Regions from separate parts of the Mus musculus genome. Here region 1 is reported to be linked to region 2. The links are microRNA targets in miRTarBase. Many come from high-throughput screens and were not tested one by one. Region 2 holds a microRNA gene; the other region holds the end of a gene's coding sequence.
The links. The annotated mature microRNA mmu-miR-181a-5p reads AACAUUCAACGCUGUCGGUGAGU and lies in region 2 at 3,357-3,379, opposite strand. An mRNA with a match to its seed (bases 2 to 7 or 8) in the 3' UTR can be bound and repressed. Matches are read on the target gene's strand: a 7mer-m8 pairs with bases 2 to 8, a 7mer-A1 pairs with bases 2 to 7 and ends in A, and an 8mer does both.

Region 1: miRTarBase lists Sv2b as a target of mmu-miR-181a-5p. Seed matches in the 3' UTR shown: 7mer-m8 at 1,777-1,783 and 7mer-A1 at 2,335-2,341.

Annotation. Positions count from the first base shown.
Region 1 is chr7:75,112,992-75,118,055 of GRCm38, reverse strand. Sv2b (synaptic vesicle glycoprotein 2 b) reads left to right here. Exons shown (of 13, transcript NM_153579.4): 13 at 278-3,162. The coding sequence ends at 461. Among named protein-coding and RNA genes, the nearest start is that of 4930533N22Rik, 85 kb to the right of the region's middle.
Region 2 is chr1:137,964,772-137,969,846 of GRCm38, reverse strand. It overlaps Mir181a-1 (microRNA 181a-1), which reads right to left and starts at 3,392; the gene lies at 3,306-3,392. Mir181b-1 (microRNA 181b-1) reads right to left here and starts at 3,208; the gene lies at 3,129-3,208.

The DNA of each region.
Region 1 (5,064 bases), not on the chromosome of region 2:
TACTTGTAACTATTTTAATTAGAGATATGCTTGGGAAGATAAGGAAAGAGGCTTGAAGGCAATTCAGAATGTTAATAGCAGCTATTAGTCCAGGTATCCCTACATCTTAATTTCATTGAGTATTTCCAGTGTTGGCTAAAATGAAATCGCTGTTTTTATATTTAGATAAGAAATTGAGTCCCACACCTCCTCCTCTTACAACAAGGAAAGAACATACAGCCGTTCACCTAGCGAAGCCCAGAATTTCAGAATCCTCTCCTGTCCTCTTCTTTTGCAGGGCCACGGCCTTCGGCATCCTCAACGGACTGTGCAAGTTTGGGGCCATCCTGGGAAACACTATCTTTGCTTCTTTTGTTGGGATAACCAAAGTGGTCCCCATCCTTCTGGCTGCTGCTTCTCTGGTTGGAGGTGGCCTGATTGCCCTTCGATTGCCAGAGACTCGAGAGCAAGTCCTGATGTGACCAACCCACCGGGAAAAGACAGATGGGAAGATCTTTTTCAGGACACTCCAGCACAGCCACGCCTCCTGCCTCTCACTGTCTACAGGATACCGCGGACAGCACGGAAGGAGAAATGGACTTTGTGATCCCTAGTTTAGGACCCACTGCAGTTGTTAATACATTTTTAACTCAGGTGATTGACTAGGGGTGCCCAGAACCATCCTTGGGATCCCAGAGCTGTGTGCTTAGCTTCAGGTCTCTTCATCCCAGGCAGGGAGAGGACACTCCAGTAAACACACACAGTAAGCAAGGAGTATATGCTCCTCTAAATGAGGTGCAAAAAACTATTTGCATTTCGGACTGAAGTTGAGGACTAGAACCACTTAAGCTCCTCCATGCAGCTTCTGGGAGCCCAGTGACCTAGCAGATTGTCATAGTGGGGAGTGGGGTCAACACATACTGGGCTCAGAGAGCAGACTACGTATTTGCATTTGAAAGTATCACCTATCATATTTTCCTTTTGAAAACTGGCACAGTAGCCTTGAGGATACTCTGATATAGAAAAACCCAACCTTTAAGCAAAATGTATATAGACGGACTTTTCTTCCCAAGCATCCTGAACTTTGCATAACGAAGAGGTGATACACTAAGAACTATATTTATTATGGTTTTGCTCTTGTCAGAGCAACGTGAGGATGGGTATTATGTAAACTAAGTTTGTATATAAGAGTTTTGAGGTTTTATTCCCACAAATGGTGGCTGCTAAGGTTGCCAACATTTTAGCCATATTTGGGGAGGACTCTCCATTCAAGGTCGCAGGAAACTTGGTGCGAATGGGTAGCATCTTGCTTGCTGTCCGGAGGATGTACTTGGCAAGCCACGTGCCATTTCCTTTACCTGGGAACTTTTCTTCAAATTGGTAGGGCAGGTACTTCTCTCTCCTGTGTTGCTCATTTGTGAAACTCAGGACCATAGGTTGTTTGATGCTGTTTACCCAGAGAGAACAGGAAGAAATGAAATGAAAATGTTTTTATTTTTATTATTGGCTGCTTGCACTCCTTTTCTTTAGAGAGAACCCCCTCACAGATAACTGACTAAGGATGGGGAAAGGTAACCACAGTTCTTCAAAATGTGAGTTCTTCCTGTTTGATTTCAAAGAAAAACACAATGTACATTTATTATAGTGTTTAGGACCTATGAGAAATTTATGCTCTGTGTGTTGGCTCGGGGCGTTCGAAACAGGCCATTAGCATGCACATTAGGAAATAAAAGGCATGAGATACATTCGTTTCTTCATTGCTCCAAGGAAGCTTTTTCTGAGATCCAGGTTGGAACTTGAATGTGGAAAGGGGAGAGGGGGTCAGGGCTGCTCTGGCAGGTGCCAGCAGTCTGGAGGCTAGGCTGAGGGAGTGGCTTTTGTTCATCAGTACCCTCTGCAATGGTAGAGACAGAGCTAGGAGTTCCTGCCACCTGAGCTGCTCTTACCTGGGCCAGCAGAACGACTGACTGACTGACTGTAAGAACTAGTTTGCTCACGTTATTTGCAGCACACACACAAGCTGTGATGTGCTAATCTCTACCTATTAGAAATCTTCCCAAATCTAAACCAAACTAATGACTACATTGAGTGTTTTCTCAGTTCTGTGGAAATACTTAGATGCCAGGCCAGTTCAAGCCATCTTTGCCTAGTCCTCTGGAATATAAGTTGGCAGTGGGAAAGAGTGAAATCTTTGAGAACTTCCCATTTTCAAGTGTGGCTAACATGTTTACTCTGCTTCTCTGGTCCCCACCTCTTTATTTACACCACCATTACTTTCTGTCCAGGGAAGGAAGATGCATCAGGTCTGATGTGATAACCCCCATTACTCCAAATATAAATATATATAAATATACAGAATGTATTAATGCTTCTCTCGGTGTTTTATAGGAATTAACTGATAACGCTCTGTTGATAACGAGAAACTTTCTGTAATATAGCTGTGATGTCCTTTTCCATTTTCTTGTGATATGGAATGCATTGCTTAGGATCATGAGAGAATTGTATAAATCTGTGGTTATGTATCCCTCATAACAGTGTTCTTTAATGGGATAATAGACCTCAGTGCTCAGCTACCACTCAAGAAATGTACGAGACAGTTAGAATCCACATTTACAGTCAGATATATCTTGTAAACTTTAAATCTGACTAATTTTTAAAGCACAGGAGTGGCTGCAGTTATTTTAGGCTAACTGTTCTTGGTTTCTAAGCTCTGTCTTCTACATTACATTTATGGCTCCTTAACCTGTTTGCCTAACCAACCAAGGGCAATTCCCGTCCATCCATCACACGGGATGTGAGAAGGATGCAGCCATGGTCTGCAGCCTCTCTCATGAAGGGTTATCTGGCCATGGTACTTGGCTGCTTCATAACTTGCTGTCACTCCTGATGAGATAAGTGTGTCTTTAAAAATAGTCCCCGTGTCAGGTCACTGGGGTGTAATGTACAACATCCTTAGCCATCCATTTTTTCTTTTCTTTTTTTTTGCCCTGAGAGACTCCCAATGGCATCTATAGAGGACTAAAGAAGAGAGCCGTTCCCTCACTGAGTCAGACTGTTCACAGTTCATTATGTATTTTATGATGGCTTGTTTGGGAGCCGATACTTTCAGCAGTCTCAACTGTGTTGTGGGATCTCCTGATGCTGGTTTCTGAGCTTTTGTTTTATTAAAACTGATTAGTGAAAGAGGTGTCCTGGCTCTGAAATTTGTAGCACGTGAGCTTGAGATTACATAATAATCCACTCTTTGGGTTCCCTGGGTATTGGCTCATGACAAAAGAACGAAAATAACCACGAGTGAATCTTTAGGAACCGAGGTTAGAGATCATGTTACCTCACTCATGTCTCTTCTGCATTCCTAATGTGCTGGAATCCCTTCTTCTAACTCTCTTCTTTCATACGCAGACTTTGAATCATTTGGCCCAGGTACCCATGTGCTAGGACTGTATAATAAGGTCTAGAATGATGCTGCCTCCTTTTGTGGACTAACCCTCCTAGTTGAACCAGGCTTCTTCATATTTGCTCTATTAGAGGCCCCTTTCAGTTATAAACATGAATATCTTTGCTCTTCTTTGCTGTAGAGCATGCTGGGAAATATATTTACTGGATACATAACCATCATTTCTTCAAAGTGGAGTTCTTGGTACTGAAAGAAAATAGACCAACGAATCATTCCTAAGATTTTTTTTTGTTCATTAGAACCACCTGGAATGGAGTCTGGGGCAGTATCTCAGTGAGGTGCTTACTTGACAAGCATGAGGCCCTGAGTTCTATCCCCAGGACCCAACTAAGCTGGATGAAGTGGCCTTCTCCTACTTCTCCTAATCCCACTACTGGGAGATGGAGACAGGAGATCCCTGGTGTTGATGGTTAGCCAGGCTAGTCTAGTTGTCAAGTTTCTGGTGATGAAGAGACTCACCTCAAGGACGAGGGGAACAGTGCTTAGAGAGCGACAGCAGAGGTTGTCCTCTGTGCATGTGGACACTCATGTGCCTGTGCACCCCCACAGACACCCACATGGCTCTGAATGGACTGCCTGGCCCCGTCCCCAGTGATTCTGATTTAGTATGTATGGGACCGGTATGAGAATTAGCATTTTCAGCAAACGTGTACACTGCATGGTTGGTATTAGTCACTCAAATCATATTTGGAGACGCACAGACAACCTGCTTATACTTAGGCACGTTGATTTGTTGGGGCAGGAGTCGGGTAGCAGAGTTCTTTTGCTTTAGTATCAGGTCAGCCAGAATCTCATTCAAACCCATGAGAAGTAAGAACATTAAAAAGCACATTTCAAAGGTATTGAGTAGTGGCAGTCATCAATAGCTCAATGGTGTCAGTGGTGACATTTTCATCCCTAAAGATCACGGTTTCCCCCGGGCCTTGACCTTTAGGCCATATCTGGTGGTCCAGTTCTGCCTCGCCCTAGATGCACAGGGGTACATTTCACCTGGAATTGCTGATGTCTGCCTCGACTATTTCCACATGGTATGCGTGTGGTGACTGTGTTTAATAGACTTTTGCAGACAAAGATGCCATTGGCATATTATTACTCCCAGGGATCTATTATGAGAGTTTGACTCTAAAAGCTTTTCCTTACCTGGTGACTGTGACAGAGTGAGGTGGAACATGGCCAGCCGACCATCAACTGACCTTGCTTGGTGATGTTCTTGACAAAGACAGAAAGATTTCTCCTTTAGAGATAAGGCAGGATAGGGCAACTTCCTCCATGCAGACCTCACGGGACATAGTTTACAGATGCCTCCCCCAACCTCCCGTTCTTGCTCTTGTGTATGTACCTGATCCTATAAGCATTTTCCCCAAGTTAAAATGCTGGGCTACTATGGGTAGCTTTGTCATCTTTGGACCTAGCCCCAGAAACATTTGCAAATCAATCACACAGCACCTTTGAATTCAAGCAAGCTTAAAGCACATTTTGTTTAATTTGCAGAGGCATGGCGAAGAATTTATAAGCCTGGCTCTTGTGCGGCAGGGAGGCTTCCCCAAAGATTAATGACAGAATGAAACACAGACTAGAGCTGTCCCCAGATGCTAAATGGAAGAATGAAAGTTGTTAGTTATTGTAAG
Region 2 (5,075 bases):
AGTTTTTAGTGTTCAGGACAGCAAAGAGGCAGATATTGTGGCTTGAAACAAAACACAGCAATATAAAAAGAAGCACACTTTTTGTGTGTGTATATGTATGTACATGCACATGTGTATGTGTATTTATGGAGCTATGCCACATATATACAGGTTCTTATGGAGGTCAGAAAGGGACTCCAATTGCCCAGAATTTGACTTGTAGGCTGCTAGGAGCTACCTGATATGGGTTCCAGGCAAGTCCTGTTGAAAGAATAGCAGTGTTCTTAATCACTGAGCCATCTCCCCAGCCCCATGAGAAAACTTCTCAGAAAACATCTACCCAACAATAGAGATTTTAACTAAGTGAATTTGTCAATAACTGTACTTGAGAGAAAACAACACATGAAAATGAGATGATCTCTTTTTTGAACTACCCAAAGAAGAAGAAAGAGTTATGAAATATAACTAAACAGCCTAAGAATGCCTTTGAATTTTGAGAACATTTTGTTTTCCTGTATATATTCCTTATCATATCTTGGCATTACAACTTGGACAATGACTGCCTACTATTACTTATAATTACATCATAAGCATGATGTCATAAAAAGCTGTGATGCTAGGACTCTGGAAGCTGAGAACAGAGTAAGCCACCAGACCTATATGGTCCACACATGGAGATGCTGCCTCAAAAATCGCCGTCTTTAGAAGTACAACCTGGGATATGAATTTTGTACTTATCTTCCCATCAAGAATCAGTAAGACTTGTAATTCATAAATTTCTAAAAACTCACCATTACATAGTGAATTCATGTGATAATAGTTCGTGTAGCTCATAAAAAGTCAAACTCAAATGAGTAATTAAAATTTAATATTTTATTATGCTTTGAATTCAAGCCTATATACATGAACAGTACAATCTTAAGAATTTTTTTTTACAAATTGACTTTTATATCATTCACATCAAACACTCAGACTGTTTTAAAGAAACATAAATAATAATAAATAATGTACTAAAAATTTAAAGTGCAAATATGTGGAAAAATTTTGTCACCCCATCAGGTAAATGCACATTGAAATCATAATCATTTTATGCCTACCCCCTGTTAGAATGGACATTATCAAATACATGGTAGCAAGTGACAAGAGCTAAGAGGGTAATGGAAAGGAATAAAGACACAGGAAACCACTGTGAACGCTAGATGTAAATTAGTGCAACTATTTGGGAAAACCGGATGACATGTCTTCCAAAAAATGAAAATAGTATCCCTAAATTATATGTCCTCACATCCCTACATCCTCTGTGTGTGTGTGTGTGTGTGTGTGTGTGTACTGAGATATGTATATCAAAGAGGTATTTGTACTCTCTTCATTTCAACATTATTGATAATAGCCAAGCTTTGGTAACAAAGTGTCCTTCAATCAATGAATGAGTAGAGAAAATATTCTGACATTATGGATGTTTTCATAGGTATACACACACACACACACACATATATATATACACATATATGTATACACACACATATACCTATATATCTACATATCTCCATTACCTTAGCATATATACGAATACACACACACACACATACACACACAAATACACATATGAAATGAAATACTATCCAGGCTTAGAAAAGTTTATCAACAAATATATACCTGGATGAATTTATAATCAATGAAATAGAGGCCAGTGCCGCAGGATCCACTTAAATATGGAACTTAAAGGGAATGATTTTATGGAAGAAGAGTAGGAAGTTTGCTACCAGGGGTGGAATAATACTGGTGATTTGGTTTCACCAAGACCAGCTTCCATTAAAAAAAAATCTGCACAATTGGGAGAGAGCAATGTTTCAAGATGTCAAATTGTGGGCTGAAGAGAAGTAATGAGAGAACACACAAATAGAGACTCTTCTGCAGGTTACTAATTAAGTGACGTTTCCAAACTCATAGCTTTTTAAGATAGAAAAAAGAAGGGGGCTGTTCAGTGAATGAAGCAGGAATAGAAACTTTTTTTTGAACTTCTTGTTTTTTGTTGAGATTAGAGCCTTGTCATACGTTAAATGGAACGAAACAGACGGTGGGAGAAAGGAGTTATGATAGATAGAGATGCCCCAAGCAAGGCAGGCACTTGTGAACTAACTACGTAAAATACTGTGGGAATGAATATTCTGAACACTAGAGCAAGGTCCCAGGAATGGATTTCTGTAGTGGGAGTTGAATGTATATCATAATAAACTGATCAAGAGAGAGAAAGGACAATATGTTTGATAGATTTTTTCCCAACGAATTAAAATCTATTAGGTACCATGTACTAGGTACCATGTACACACTGTATGCTGAACATCCTGTTATAAATATTAACTCCAACCACTGTACTTACTATTGGAGGTGATGAACCTTAATGACAGATGTTCTTTTTGAAATTATAGAGCCAAACTAGTTAGGAAACACACACACACACACACACACACACACACACACACACACACACACACACTTGCTTGAAGACAGTCCCTGGAATCAAGTCTACCATTTCAGAAGAAAGTAGAGGGTAAATAAAGATGATGAACTATAATCTTAAATCTGAGGTCTCTCTGGGGAAACAAATCTATTGCATGATTATAATGAGCCCCTGGATAACAAAGTACTTGGCTATTGAGGTACTATCCCTCTGCCTACCAATTCCATAGAGAGTAGAGCCATTTCAGCGATTCTTTATGCAGAGCAAAAGAATTCCCTCTTGCTTCAAGCCCATTTTGACCAAGAAATCTAATGAAAGATGAGGGGATGGTTATTTTCTGTGTAACAATGTGACGGATAACGGGGCAGGAAGTAAGATATTTCTTTGGTTCTTCCTCCCACCAGCACAGCAGAGCAGGAAGCCGTGCCAACCCAGGGCTACACAGTTGATTCTGGGCATCCAACACTTTAGCATTTTTAAGAAATGCCCCATTTGTAACCCCCAGGAGTATAGAAAAGCAGTATTCTTATATAAATTAGTGACTTCCTCACAGAAATAGGACTTGATATGAATTGAATAAACAAACCTGAAAGTTCAGACAGCAGAAGTTAAACCGAGAAACGGCGTTAATACCCCCAGGACCTCTATTAGGGAGGGAACGTCTGTTGATTGCGACAGCAAAAAGCGGGGCCACAGTTGCATTCATTGTTCAGTGAGCTTTTCTACACAGTTCAACCCACCGACAGCAATGAATGTTGATTGTGACCTTTGTAAACATAGTCTCTGAAGAGGCGGGGAGAATCCTGTCGGGTCCTGCTTTGCGGTTCTGTCTTCAGCAAACGCAGAGGGCCATGGAGTAGATGATGGTTAGCTATAGGGTACAATCAACGGTCGATGGTTTTTATTTGAATTCCAAACTCACCGACAGCGTTGAATGTTCACTGAAGCAACCTGTGAGGCAGAGATGTGCTGATTTAAACAGTATCTGTGGGAGTCTGGAGCAGGAGGGAGGCAGAGGAAAGCCCAATCCTTTAACCAAACCTGTCACACATTTTAAACCATTTCAAAAGAGTACAGAAGAAAAGAAGCAGGATTCCTCCAGCCCAGAGCTTGGCAAACCTCCACTTTGTGCTGTGTCAAAGAAAAGAATCGGATTTTTTTTTTTCAAAAGGGAAGAAAAGTCCTTTTGGGGGGAGCTTAGTTACAGGCTGTTAAAGACAGGGAGAATTTATCATTCAACAAAATTGGAACTATCAAAAAGCAAAACAAATAGTATCTAAGTATCTCATAATTTAAATATTGGTATGTATATAATAAGAACTGCAAGGACGCATGTAGGTCATGCAGAATCAAGCAGAAACCACTTAGGTTTTCTCAAGTTACATTGCTAACAATTTTGAACTTCTATGTTTACAATGTGCATGGAATAAGCATTTATTTTACAATAGGCATTTTAATTAGTATAATTTCTTTTAAACATACTTATTTTTAAAACAATCAAGGAATCAAACCAATTTAGCACATCTTTCTTTGCTTATGACACAAGACTTTAAACTACAATGAAAATTAATACAACCTATGCCTACTGCCTGAAATTCAACTCCTCTCACTTTGGTTATTATATCCTAATATTGTTATTTGTTTTGATTGAGTGGATCTGGCAGTAACTTCTATCCATTTCCTAGGTGTTCTTGAAATGAAGTGCATTTACAAGTTAGTATGAACTCTATTGAGCATGTCTTCAAAACTGATTTCAAATATCAACTTAAACAAAAATCCCTTTGTACTCCTCAAAACTAGGGTAGAAAGTTACTACATTATACTTATGTAGACTCTTAAGTGGCTTTAATAAGTATATATATATATATATATATATATATATATATATATATATATATATGTGTGTGTGTGTGTGTGTGTGTGTGTGTGTGTGTGTGTGTGTGTGTGTAACTATTAATAAAATATTGGTGAACCATTCAGTCCAAATTTTTATACATATTCATTTTATTTACTTAGAATATTGTATGCTAAACCTGTAATCATTTATTATCTTGTACACGAAGAGATTACAGGACAAGTGTCTCTGGCTGGTATTTTGAGGTAGATAAGGTAACGATCTGCTGATGGCATGCATTCAGACTTCAGATAGTTACAAGACATAAAACTGATGAATCTGAATAGTCCTGTGTGGCTTCCTTTGAGATAGCTTTCCTGCAGAGGGCTGTCTCTTGTGGAAGGAAAGCAAGTCTTCCTGGGACCATCTGTGTTATCAGTTTCACCAGAATGCATGTTGCTCATGTTCCCTTGCTTGACCACTGCACTATCATATTCAGGCCAGCATCCCATTGCTTCTATACATACCTGTCATTGCTTTTGATATCATTTTTTCAAGGCTGCTGAGCTGAGACTCTAAGCCATGATCATTGCCTTATCTCAATATACAAAATTGGAACTACGATCAAGCAATTTCCATCCGAATCACAATTAATAGCAAAGCACCGCAATGTGAGGGGTTTCCAGAACCTTCTAAAATTCTCTGTAGAAAATATAAGTCCAAATTTCTCAAATTCTTAGAATAAAATTACGGAGAATACTATCATGAAGTTCTTAGGAGATTGAAAGTGATTGGTGTTTA